Linked DNA regions of Schizosaccharomyces pombe. The gene in region 2 interacts genetically with the main gene of each other region. Each region holds a gene or a part of one and is shown on either strand. Other genes may lie near its edges.

Region 1 (3,816 bases), on a different chromosome or scaffold from region 2:
CTTAATTGAAACATTGAATGAACGTTTGTAGTGGATTATGAACATTCAACTCAATGTTTAACAACTAGCGAATGTATAGGTAGCACATTTTTAGGTGGTAAATCACTATATAGTGAACTCTGTCAAAATGCAAAAAAAGTAAATTGAGACGAATTTAAGGACCCATTCATACGGACTATTGGAATAATCACATTAATTTTGGTCACTTGACTTAAAAGATAATGCGACTAGAATTAAAGAGAAAAATCGAATACGCGAAAACTTTTTGATTTGTCTCTTTAATTTGCTTAGATGTCAAATACTGTTAGTACCAACAGATTGACAATGTTTTGATAACAATCATCAACAATTTACTTCAGAACTGTTTTAATAGAGAAAATAATTGTATCCTTCAAATTTCAACGGTTTAACACTGTTTAAGATTTAAAATGTCATTTACTTACAAGTATTTCATGCACTTTGCTTTAAGATCACAGTAACGGTTCTTCGTAGAGATATTTGACGGCTTTCAGTTCGCATTCTATATTAACTTGTGTTTTAAAGTTTTGATTGAGAGAACGTTTATCCCATTTGACGAACATTTAGATAATTGATCAGTTATCTAGACGGGAGAAATGAAAAATATTTAAACTCGTATGAACAATAAATAACACAAATGCAATGCATCCAAAAAAAATTATAAAATCCATTTACAAACCATAACCATATCACATAACACGAAAACGAGTAGAATTTTAATCCAATTCAATACTCAGAAACTTAGAGGTTTTTTAATTGTCTAAAAATCCAAAGATTTAACAGGCTGTTTTTGAGGATTCGTGTTTGAAATCTTCGTATCCTTTTGCTCATCATCCAGTGGAGGAAGGACCCATGGTTCAATGGTAAATCTTCTTTTCGATACAGTAAATGAGAGGTCTCCAGCTTCATTAGAGTTTGCATGATTGGTAAATGGAAGTGCTAAGGGAAGCTTATGGATACGGAAAAGTCCTAATGGTTGTGTAACTAAACCGTTAACAGTTTCTTTGACCGGGAAAGGATGCAAAGAGAATACGGCGGATGCAAGGTTTTCTAGCCAAAAAATTTGCTCGCAATCTCTTGAAAACAAAGTAGAAGGAACTGAACACATACATATCAAGTGCACCGAAGTAGTGCATTTGATGAGCGATGAAAGTGTGTGAATAAATCTTATGAAATGCTGCGGATGAGTAGCACGGATAGAATAGAAGGCTGGGGACAAAATGGATGGAAGAACTAACCTGCATACCGTACCTGGAGTCAGAGTAGATAAGAATCTCGTTAGACTTTCAATGACAGGGGCGTAAGGATTAGACCCTGTTTCCAAAGGGAATGGAGAAACAGCGTATTTCATATCGCTTTTCACTATCAAATTCTTTGACAAATCAAAGGAGTGAGTATAGCCAGGAGGAATCATATCAAGGGTCGGTGCCTTGGTTTTGGAGACTTGTTCATACCTCCAGGCAATTTTCATTCTTTCTTGCTGGGGATTTTTAGAGGGAGGAGAAGAATGATTATCCTCTCCAGCTGAATTTTCGTTTTTATTAGGCCGGTCGCTGTCGCCTGGAAGTTGACGAAACCACATCTCTCCAATAGATGGACCAAGCCAAATAACATGGTCCTGTTTAAGGCCTTCCGCTGCAAAAAATTTAAGTAGCACAGAAGCATAATCCATCGAATCTTCCTCTATAACCAGCAAACTTTTCATTGGAATGCCGCCAGACAAATAGTAGTCAAAAGAAGAACTCCCAGAGCTTGTAATCCATCTAGCATCCTTTGAAGATAGTCTAACGCCTGTCGGCAAGTTTGTTGGTGCTATTTGAGGTGCTGCTTTCCTTTTGAACGACATCAATACTTATTTCGATTGGTGTACGTGGAATAGCAAATTGGATGGAAAGGTTAACGCGACGCAAATTTGCAGCACACATTTAAGCATCATCAGTCAGAAAACAAAGAAATTCAGCGTTGCGATTGAGAAAATAAAAAATTGTTGACTAAAGTTAATCATTCAATAAAAATACCTTTTAGATAAATTTTGTTGAACTAATAATAAAATTTCACTAGTGGGCGCATTGAAACAAAAATAATATTGTAATACTACAAAATAACATAGAAAATGTTACGTCGTACAGTCAATTAGCATGATCGGAAAATGTATTACTGTTGTATTTTTGAAGATTACTTTCAATCCGAATCTAGTTGGACAAGACTTATGAGAAATTTAAGTCAACTCAAAGTACAATCTATTCATATTTTATTTTTAAGATCAGGAGAATCTGATTGCTAAAGATACAATTTAATTAGCTCTTCGCTTACCCCACTCTTCGAATCAATGATCCCTAAATCGGTAATGAGACCTGAGACAAATTCGGGTGGTGTAACATCCAAAGTAGGATTATTTCGAATTTGTTCTTCATTCATGATCAGCTCGTTATGAATAGCATCTGATGGAGTTGGAATTGGTTCAGGTTCAGGATGAACAGTTTCAGGAGATGGATCATCAAATTCCAGAATAGGACGACTAAAGGGAATATCATATTGAGAAAGGGGAAACATACGCACGAATTTATGACTAAAAAACGTTAGTACAAATTTTAAAATTAACAGGGAAATGGAGAGATCATAGGGAAAAATAATTGTAAGCTGAATGGATTCAACGTTTACGTACCTTTCTGCAACTGCGTAAAAGGGCTTATGTGCATGTTTGGCAAAAACGGCAAGTTGGAAAGTACCGATTTGATTAATGAGTCCTCCGTTTTCGACAACACCTTCTGCGCCAACCAAGACCAAATCTACACGGTTCATAGTAAAGCTTACAGCGGAATCCAAAACCATGCAAGTAGGAATACAAGCATTTTTTAATGTTCTCGTCATTAGACAGCCTGAGCCGCTAGGTCTTGATTCTGTGACAAAAACTTTGAAACGAACGTGACGCTTGGCAGCAGCCAAAAGAACAGCCGCAACACCGCGTGAAAACCCATGGGTAAGAATAACACTACCATCTCGAATAAGAGGGTAACCTAAATGTGCAATTCTTTGTCGACAAGCACGAGCACGCTGAATAAAGAGTTTTCCATTTTCTACCAAGTGACGTTTGCATTGCTCAAAATCCTAAAGCCGTGGAGAATTAGTAAAGAAAAGAAAACTACTTTGCATCAACACATACCCCGACATCGTGTAGTGATCGAGTGACAAACCGTTGGAAAATGTCACAACCAGCTGAAAGCGAAATGTTGTTTTGAACGCCTTCCTTCAGCGTATTTGAGCCATTTTGTAAAATGTCCATAAATTCTGAAATTGTCTTGGCTAATAGAAAAACATCAGTAAATTCATTTCTCACATGAGTACTACAAATTAACATACCTTGAGAGCGCGACAAAAGCTGGACTAAAGCCTCAATGGCGGCTACAGGCATCGTGATTTCTGGATCATCTTGCAAAAATTTTTTGTAAACCTGGACGATGTCAAATTCTCCTTGAGAATGTCGAACGATTCCCGAAGAATCCGATTCCACCATATTCGCAGATGCTAGACGCTCTTGCTTAGTAGCAACATCTTTTCCATACTTTAAGGATATCCAACAAAATCAAATAACGGGCAATGCCTTTTTGTATTAAATTGTAAGCTACGCAATTTGGTATCTGATTTAAGGATACGTAGAACTGCGGTGAGTTTTCCTTGTGATCTATTATATTACAATACACAGGTTGTATAAGTAGCAACTGAGTATAGGTATTGTATTAACTGAGTTATAATGTTACCTATCACTAATATAGCTCATAACTGAACTGAGGAACGAGG
Region 2 (4,641 bases):
TCCGAACTCCGTAAACGTAGCTTTCTCAATTATCAAGTCAGCAAACCTAGTACTATTTGTAAAGTAACCAGTACGATCAGTACCATAGCGAAGAAATCTCGTAAGCTTTTTACCTATTTCAGTCAAGTTTGAATATTCAAACCCAAACAAAGGAGACAATCGATATGCGGTGTATGTTACATTATAAAAATGGTGATCCCTTAAAGTCATAGTCAGCCTGAGCTAACACTTCAAAACGCTCTAATGATTTTGTTTCTGCTAGCGATTTTTGGGATCATTAATTAAAGTACTTAAAAAAACGTTATGAGTTATTAACTACATTGACCTTCATCAAATTAATGAAATATGTAGAGGTTGCTACCTTTTTTACTAATCGCTATGTATCATTATATAAGTCACCGTTCAAATAATAATAAAGAAACTTGAGTATCAACATTTTTTACAATTAAAGATACTGGTGGCATATATGTAAATATAAATTTCATTTATTTACTAATACTTACAAAGAAAGAGAAGCTCATAATGATCCTTCAAATATTTCAAATTGGCCAAGTAACTTTGTTCTAATACCCCGCTAAATTTATCGTTCGAAATAAACATTTTGTACAGTGGTAAATAGTATTCAAGCAAGTAAACGTATTTAGCATCAAACCGATCTTTGTATTGAATGACTTACAACAAATCTCATATTTACTATTCTATAACACCGAGAAGGTATCAATTGCAACAGTGTTTTTCGTTTAACCGAACAAAAATTATGCAAAAACTAAAGTCTAAAAACGACGTCGCAAGCAAATCTCTTCTAATAATATATGCATCAAAATTTTTTCGACTCTTTCAACTGAAATCTAGCTGTCTAAATACCCCCACTGACTGGAAAATAGATATTTTTCGATAGATTGAAAAATACACTGGCAATAAAAGAAGCAAACTCCCACTTTAACGGGTTGAATAGAGATAAGCCGGCTGTTTCAATTTGTTTGTTCAAGCAAAATGTCAATTAGTGAACCTCCTAAAAAAGAAAATTTCGATAAAAATTAACGACTCCATATGGTAGAATAATCAAGGAAAGATATACAGCCCAATATTGGACTTTAAGTAGTAATTAAATAACAAAGAAGGAGATAGCAGTAGAACTGCGGTGTCATACAAATAAATATCAGCTAGTAAGGAGACTATTTAAAAAACTTCCTTTTACTCTTCTCATTTTCGGCCGCAGCTTTAGCTTGCATTAACCGATTTTTGTGATCAATTAAGTCAGCTTTTTGCTTCTCCAATGCTGCCTTCATTTCGCGATGACGGGTACGTAACTCGTTTTCAGATTGTTTAAGACGATCTTCTTTTTCTTGAACCTTCTGAGAAAAAATGGTTTTCATTTCTGCTTCCATTTTCATCAATTTCTCTTCGTGTAAGGCACGCTCCTCTTCGAGTTTAGCACTAGGGTTGACTTCACGAAAAACGGAGTGATCTTGTGATATTCCGCTGCTAAGCAACCGTTCAGTACGATACGCTTCATACAGCTTATTTGTCTGTTCTTTGAGTTCTTCTAAGTGTGTTCGAATAAGCATTTCACGAAGCTTAGGGAAATCAGAATGCTCTTCATTATCGACTTCAACAACGCCCCATGGGTACCGCCTCCCGCGGACGCGCTTTCCTTCATTGTTGACCACGAATGTATTAGAAGCAATTATAGCAAAAGGTATTCTACTCATGATGTCTGCATTTTCTGCCACTGATTCAGGATCATCGGTCTCATATGTCGGAGGGAAGAAAATTCTGATATTGTGGTATTGGATATCTCTCAAAATCTATCATTTTTTCATTAGCAACTTTAAATCAAGATTAGGGCTTACCATTTCCTTCGTAAAGTTAAGTTCATCATCCGTTAGTGTATCGGCTTTCGCAATGATGGGTATAATATTTACTTTCTCGTGCAAAGCCAACATAACTCGAAGCTCCATAGCACTTATAGCATGACCAGTAGGCTGAATAAAAAATATACAAGCATGAACTCTTGGATCTTGAATAGTAGATCGAGGATTGTGCTTTTCAAGCTCAAGATATTGATCATAGCGACCCTCGATATCTGTCAAAACTGGTTGCCAACAATCGGTGTTGTCAATAAAATCGCCAAAACCGGGTGTATCAATTACATTTAATTGAAGACTGATACCATTTTCCACTATTTCAACTGCAGAAGAGTTGATCATAACAGTGGGTTCTGGGTTCACTCCAAAATCCCCAGTTAAAGATTTCTGGGTCGGTGGGTAAACATCTCTATTCAATAGCGTATTCACAAGTGTAGATTTCCCTGAACCGCTTTCCCCTAATACTAATACGTTGAAATTAAAACCTTGACGAACACAACGACGATGCCATTGATTAGGAAGACTAGCGAATCCAACGTATCCGTTCAACTGACGCTGGATTATACTAACGTGCGGATTGAACTAAATATTAGTAAAGGAATTTTAAATAATTGATTACCTCTTGTTCAGAATTATCCTGAATGGGTTTTTCTTCATTCTTGTTTTCTGAAATGGCTGCCTCAACATTTATTTGCGTTACATTATCTGTAGATGTGAAAGAATCAACGTCGGAACCCCTGCTTCTAGTGGAATCATCTTTAACTGTAGGCATACCATCCGCGAGTACCATTGACGCCATGTCAGAAATTATCGAAAACCCCCGTGTTGGTGGTTATGTATGTGATGAAGAGTGTAGCTAGGAGCTCGAGCATGAACATCTATTTGCTCAAGTAGGAAATTAAACTTAACCAATTTTTTTCTTAATTATGTTTCACGAAATTATAGAGCTTTTTTGAAATTTCTTAATTCACTGTCGCGTCGAATTTAGGTCCTTAACCTCGAAATATACACGGCTGGGATGCATTAAATAAAAAGATACTAAACATTGTTATTCCATTGTTTTAGTTGTCTTGTTAATTTTACAATTATTTTTTTTAACAATTGGATAAATCTAATGAATTAAAATTATCCATTATCTGTATTTGTTTAAAAACATTTTTTGACCTTTTATTTATACCTAAATTATTTGTTTGAATACCCTTTCAGCATGCAATCATCTAAATCTTTTGAATTTAATTTAAAATATTTATTTTTCTATTAATATAGAACCTTGGGCAGTAGTCGTTGAATTGAGCATTAATGCAAATCCAATTTATTGCACAACTGATTATTTATTCAATTGAACTTGTACGTCGACAATGTGACCCTCAACGATTTTAAAGATTTAATTATTAGACATAAAACACAGTTAGAAATTATTGCCTGGCCAACATTTTCATGCTAATAGATGATTCAGAAACAAATATCTATATTTCTTTTCCTACGAAAAAGTAAGATCAAACTAAAACATTAGAAGCTTGTTTACCGTATATTTTTGATCTTAAAGGACTTTTAAGATAAATTTGAACTTATTATAAATAATAAAATGTTAAAAAAAAATTTAACATAATAGGATCATTTTTACTAATTAAATAACGATTATATTAGTCTTTATAACAGCGTTTACAGTCTCCGAATTGCAGTATAAGCTCTAAAACTCAATTGAATAAAGGCATTTAATAGTCAATCATTGTTTTGTTTTCCTTCTAGCTATTTCAGCTCTTCTTGCTATCAAAGCACGGAATGACTTAACGCGGTGTTGTGTGGCTGGTATCAGAGAAAGAATAACTCCAGTAAAGGTACGCAAGCAATCCCAGTATGTCGTCGTTAAAACTATGAATATAATATGTCAAAAATTAATGTGAAAAGACGTTAATCAACACAATATAGAAGTACGTGTCTTATATTAAGAAATCGAAATATCTATAATTGAATTTAATAACGAAATCTTGCGTGACTACGCTATTAATTCTAGTTGTTATGAATACAGATGGGATCAAGGTAACTGGTATTCACCTCCTTTTCGACGTAACCAGAGCCACACATTATACTGGACAAAGGCGTTCTCTGGCGGCGGAATCGAACCAATATATAAGAAAACACTCAAATTCTGGGTTTATTGGAGGAAATTTTTTATTTTAAAAACAGTTTCTTTTACTCGAAAAAGCGTTTTTAATACTTCTTTCTTTGGCTTTGTTTTTACTCGATAGGGGCAAAACCTGTACAAGCTTGATTCGTGAACGTACGACATAATCCTTTGTTTGTATTAATGCTTAAATTATCTTAAGTATTTATTAACGGGGTATTCACTAGTTGAAATACATTTATATATATAAGGTGTTACTTTCGCGACTACAGCTGTTAGCCGTTGCTTTTTTAAGGAATTCGCATAATTATTTAAGAACTCGATTCTGTTTAGACCCACAAAACAACATCCAGATTCGGGTTGATTTTAATTTTTAACTCTCTATTTTTATTACTCTTATTAAATTGTGCCCTTCCATTTTTATTTATAAACTTTAAGATGCGCGTGTACAATAAATCTAGAATTGTAGGGCAGCTCCTTTTTGTGGCCCTCGGTATTACTTTCATCTATTACCTATTTACTCCATCTGTCAATTCAAATGCCAAAGTTCAGATTGAAAACCGTGGGGGGAATTCTTACGAAATATACGATATGAACAAAATTACGGAATCTTCCGATCCCATTCGTAACAAAGAGGAGGTGTTAATC
Region 3 (4,780 bases), on a different chromosome or scaffold from region 2:
AAGAGGCTGTTAAGGAAGGTCAAATCTTTGTTACCACCACTGGTTGCCGTGACATTATTCGTGGTGAGCACTTCAACGAAATGAAGGAGGACTCTATCGTTTGTAACATTGGTCATTTTGATGTCGAGATCGATGTCGCTTGGTTGAAGGCTAACGCTAAGGATGTTGTTAACATCAAGCCCCAGGTTGATCGTTATGAATTGAAGAACGGTCGTCATATCATTCTTTTAGCTGATGGTCGTCTCGTTAACCTTGGTTGTGCCACCGGACATCCCTCTTTTGTTATGTCCTGCTCTTTCACTAACCAGGTCCTTGCCCAAATCGCTTTGTGGACCGATAACACCAGCTATCCTCTTGGTGTTCATATGCTTCCCAAGAAGTTGGATGAGGAGGTTGCCCGTCTTCATTTGGGTAAACTCGGTGTCAAACTTACTACTTTGACTTCTGTTCAATCCGACTACTTGGGTATCCCTGTTGACGGTCCTTACAAGGCTGATCACTATCGTTACTAATCTATTCTTATCATTTAGTTTATAGAATTTATTTTGAAGTTATAATTACTTTAAAAATGTTTCAGCCTCTTTTTTTTGCATGAGTGATGTTTCAACAGCATCTATGTCTCTATGTCGCCATGAAATGCATTAATGTTATTCAACTGGGTTTATGTGGATTTCAGGTCAAACATAATAAATGTTTCTTTCTTTGCATAGAATAGCAATTAACGTGCTTTCATTAAGAAGATTTGATGAATATAACATATGAATTGCTTGACTTGTAAACCAATCTGCGATGTATTTCCGTAAACGAAAAACATATCTTCCCTTGATCAAACAAAGGAAATTAAGTATAAATTCATTAAATTAATGTAGGAATATGCAAACCACCGAATTTGAAAGATAGGTTTAGATGAAGATGAGTTACTGGAAATGAAAGTAAGATGCTAAGACAGTACTAACCTACGATTGTTCATCAACCGTTTCTTCCGAAAGCTGCTTTTTAATGGCTGGAAGTTTTCTCTGTTGATAGTAGTTGCTGGAAGTGTTAGTAAAAATACAAGAGACCAAGATGATAAATAGAATACATACTCGAATATACGCTCGCATGCAGCAGCGTTCTCACAGTCCTGAAGAATAACCAAGAAATCACCTTCTTCGTAATTCAAATCGACCGCAGAGTTGGTGTATGAATTTAAAACTTTAGGAGACACAAGTGCAACATGATCCAAGATAGTGTTATGTGCTTCCAATAAGTGGGATAGCGCAGATCGCTCAGCTTGATCAAAACCGGCGGATTTCAACAAAGGTTCATTCCAAGCATCTAAAAGAAATGGCGCAAAGTTGTTATTTTTAATAAGCAAAGAACGCGTACTAATTCCATTATAATCACTGGTGGTAATTACAAATACATCAGATGGATCCATTTTACGGCGTGTACGGATGTAGTTCTTTAATGGATCGATCGGAGAATTAAGAAGCAAATGCTGCGACAGTTTTTCTGGTTTCAAGACCCTATCCTTGAGAGATTCGGAAGGATTCATTATAACAGCCTTTGCATCGAGCAACCATATCCAGCCAGCGTCGGGATACTCAGCCAAAGTTTCCCTCAAAGCTGGGATAATACTCCAAGTACCATAGACACCATACCTCGCTTGAATATCGCGGGCTTTCTTGTGGACTAGGGTATAGCCATGACGCAAGGCATACTCTGTACGATCAGAAAGCACTTTATCCAGGAAGACAGAGCTGGAGTCAGATCTACTTGAATCATAATGGTCGTCAAAACTAACAATCAACATGACTACGGAATCAGGATCTTGTGGAGATGTTTTCGCCTTAGAAACACCTTTGTATGAAGAGGAATGGGCACTGGGAGAACCAATCGAATTGGAATAAACAGGCATTGAAGACTTTAAAGAATAAAAGCCAAAAAGCAATAAAACGATGGCCAAGAGACCTAAACTTTTTCCTCTACGAGAAAATAAACGAAAGTTGAACATCTTGCAGAATACAAAGTAAAAAAGTGCAAAACAAACAGTTTGCGAGAAAAAATGAGTTGGTTATGCGCGTCTATGGAACAAGATAACGGTTTAAAAGAATAAACCTTAGGGGTTTTTTAAATGTGCAAATAATGTAGAAAAGAAGGTAAGAGAATATCTGTAAATCGAGAAGGTATAAATAGAGAAGAGAAAAAAAGGTATAAAGATCTGGGTCGTAAAGAAAATGGAATATATATGGCCCTTTTTTAAATGCAAATAAATGATCCAACGATATATACGCGAGTATATCCGAAAATTAAAACAGTAAAGATGTTACAGAGGGCGTTTTCACTAAGAAATACGAAAAACCGGATAATGAAAGAAACCTTGCGAGAACACAACGCCTAGCTTTCAAAATGAGCCTTTTTGTCAAGCTATATCGGCGATATTTAAAAAAGAGGAAGATTCTACAATTTAAACAACAATAGATTATAGCTTATCCTGACAACAATCCTTTTACACCGTTTCAAAGACTACGAGTCAAGATGGACTGGTTATTGATATTGAATATGATTTTTACAGAAATCAGGATCCACCCAACCACGTACTAAGAGCAGAGAAACGTTGCTTTTATAATTGGCAGCAACTTGGCTGTATTTGTAGTCTGCGTGTTCGACATTCGAAGGATTTTGATTAACGTGTACGATGCATCCTACCTAACGTACTCTAACGTGTTTTTAGATTTTTTTAGTGATATTGAAATTATACTTTAAACTGTTATAGCGTTATACCCGGTGCTACTCATTATATAGCGAAAATCATAAAAGTAAATAGTAAATAGAGTAAGATTGAAGATGAATTGAATCAGAGTCGATGAACTTCTATTGACTTAAAAAATTATGTATGTAATTAATAAAATATCATCTTGTTTTTTCTACTAACAAATTTTTACAGCGGTTATATACAAGCTTCGGCGTGTATAGTTGGTTTATATAAATTGCAAGCAAAGTGTACACCATTTTTTTTATTATTTCCATATAAAGAAAAAAAAAAAAAAAAAAAAAGGGGATTCTATAGCCCTTTGGTATTTACGAAGACTCATTGATAGTTTAAATCGCACTCATTGAATGGCATTAAACACATTTGTTTGTTTGAATTTTTTTCATTGTTTATGAAGTACAGGATTTTTTTTTTTACCTATCAATAAAAGTATTGATATAAAATATCCCTTTACCTTGATCAATACTTCAAAAAAAATTTAAAATTAGTTTAATTATATTAAATGGACGGTTTTTAGCCTGGTAAATGAAATTCATGCCTTTACTCTTCACCAACTTTTTAAGACGTTAAAATTTTTATAAAAAGCCAAATCCTAATATTCTGTTTCCCAAGACAGCAAAAAGTAAATAAAATACTGCTACTTGGGCCATATTATTACTTCTCATTAATTGCTTACAGAAACTGCTATGGAAAAAGAAAGCGAAATACAAAGCTTACCACCAACGAGACGATATACGATATCTTTAGCATTACCTATTTCAAGTCTAAATGTAGCATACAATTTGCAGCTTAAAACGAGTTTTGTCTGGAAGGTTTGAAAGATTCGTTGTTGTCGCGTATTAACTCAAAATATAGATTTCGAGAATAGTTTCTCTATATGGTATTGACGAAATTATTTTGCTAGAGGACCCTGAATATGTGCAAAACACCCAGGTACATACACTTTCCTCTGATGCTTATTTAAAGGATCCCACAAAATTTCTCACGGACTTATTATGCTATTTCGAAACGCCTTTCTTTATGAGGAAGGAATTGTTTCCACTAAATCCACATCTAAAATATACTAGCTGCTTTCCATTACTTCCCCTCAGAAATGACAAGGCTAGCACAGTGAATATTGAATTCCCATACCGAGAGGGAATCGTTACTCATCCATCTCCGCAAGCAAAGAATAAATATATTATAAATGCTGGACTATCTCACAATGTAATCGTTTCCAGCCCCAGCGTCCTTGCTCCTAGAACAAGGGTCACGGTTCGATTAAAAGCGCAGTCTCCAAACGAAGAAGGCCAGCTTCAAGGTGATATCGTGTCTTTTTCAGCTCCACGAGAAAAAGGTGGTCATTATTGGGGTTACAAGGTGCGGTCATGTCTTTCTTCTCAGCTGTGTAAAAGTTCTCCTTACAAAGGTGGATATGACTTTGTTGTTCAAATCAACAGTCAGACTTCAGCTATTACTTCAAAAGAGTTAGAAGCGAGTTTACCAAGTTCGTTTCGGCATGCTGTTCTTGTTTTACAAGACAATGTCGTACAAAAAGAGCTCGTAGACTCCACTGCCAAAAGTATTTCTTTTAACCCATTCCCAGTTTCTTTTCTAAATGATCCCATTCCTGAAGAGATACTTTTGGCGGCCATGACCCGTTTGTCAGATATGTTGCTGATGCATGGACGACGATAAAGCCTAAATACTTACAAAGGTGAAGCTGTCTTTTTCTTACTTAAATATTATAAAGCTGTCTCGCTAATCAAGGAAAACAAAATCAATTTTGAATATGATAAATTATAAGGATAACTTGGGTATAAAGACGATATTAGAAACTAAGACGAGAATTATTATGATTAAAATTATATCTAAGAGTGTATTGTTGAAATAAAGAATAAAAAAATTTAAAAGATGATTCGAGTCAATGCAAAAAAGGGTAATTCTGTTGAAGACAAACTCCTATCGAGTGTACCTAGATAAGCAGCCATGTTTAAACACTCATAGAAGCAGGGTTTCCTGATCTCTTTTTAATAAGATTCTCCA

What was found. A genetic interaction does not mean that the proteins touch.
Region 1: mutations in spn1 (region 2) and elp4 together harm fitness more than expected from each alone (negative genetic interaction), as found in Schizosaccharomyces pombe (one large-scale study listed by BioGRID).
Region 3: mutations in spn1 (region 2) and gmh4 together harm fitness less than expected from each alone (positive genetic interaction), as found in Schizosaccharomyces pombe (one large-scale study listed by BioGRID).

The regions. Positions count from the first base shown.
Region 1 is NC_003421.2:1,462,475-1,466,290, forward strand, and holds elp4 (elongator complex subunit Elp4), read right to left. Parts: upstream 1,917-3,816; 5' UTR 1,865-1,916; coding exon 779-1,864; 3' UTR 512-778; downstream 1-511. Other genes in the region: translation initiation factor eIF2B alpha subunit Gcn3, read right to left, coding at 2,299-2,587, 2,684-3,126, 3,182-3,321, 3,379-3,532. UniProt on the Schizosaccharomyces pombe protein: Component of the elongator complex, a multiprotein complex which is required for multiple tRNA modifications, including mcm5U (5-methoxycarbonylmethyl uridine), mcm5s2U (5-methoxycarbonylmethyl-2-thiouridine), and ncm5U (5-carbamoylmethyl uridine).
Region 2 is NC_003424.3:4,851,112-4,855,752, reverse strand, and holds spn1 (mitotic septin Spn1), read right to left. Parts: upstream 2,714-4,641; 5' UTR 2,668-2,713; coding exon 2,488-2,667; exon of another isoform or gene 2,451-2,487; coding exon 1,854-2,450; intron 1,809-1,853; coding exon 1,176-1,808; 3' UTR 554-1,175; downstream 1-553. Other genes in the region: kinetochore protein fta1, read right to left, coding at 1-210; mannan polymerase complex subunit Mnn9, read left to right, coding at 4,432-4,641. UniProt on the Schizosaccharomyces pombe protein: Plays a role in the cell cycle. Involved in a late stage of septum formation leading to the separation of the daughter cells.
Region 3 is NC_003423.3:1,387,399-1,392,178, reverse strand, and holds gmh4 (alpha-1,2-galactosyltransferase Gmh4), read right to left. Parts: upstream 2,644-4,780; 5' UTR 1,997-2,643; coding exon 1,086-1,996; intron 1,033-1,085; coding exon 957-1,032; 3' UTR 513-956; downstream 1-512. Other genes in the region: SPOM_SPBC8D2.18C (adenosylhomocysteinase), read left to right, coding at 1-512; SPOM_SPBC8D2.16C (uncharacterized protein), read left to right, coding at 3,442-3,567, 3,611-4,432; lipoic acid synthetase Lip5, read right to left, coding at 4,728-4,780.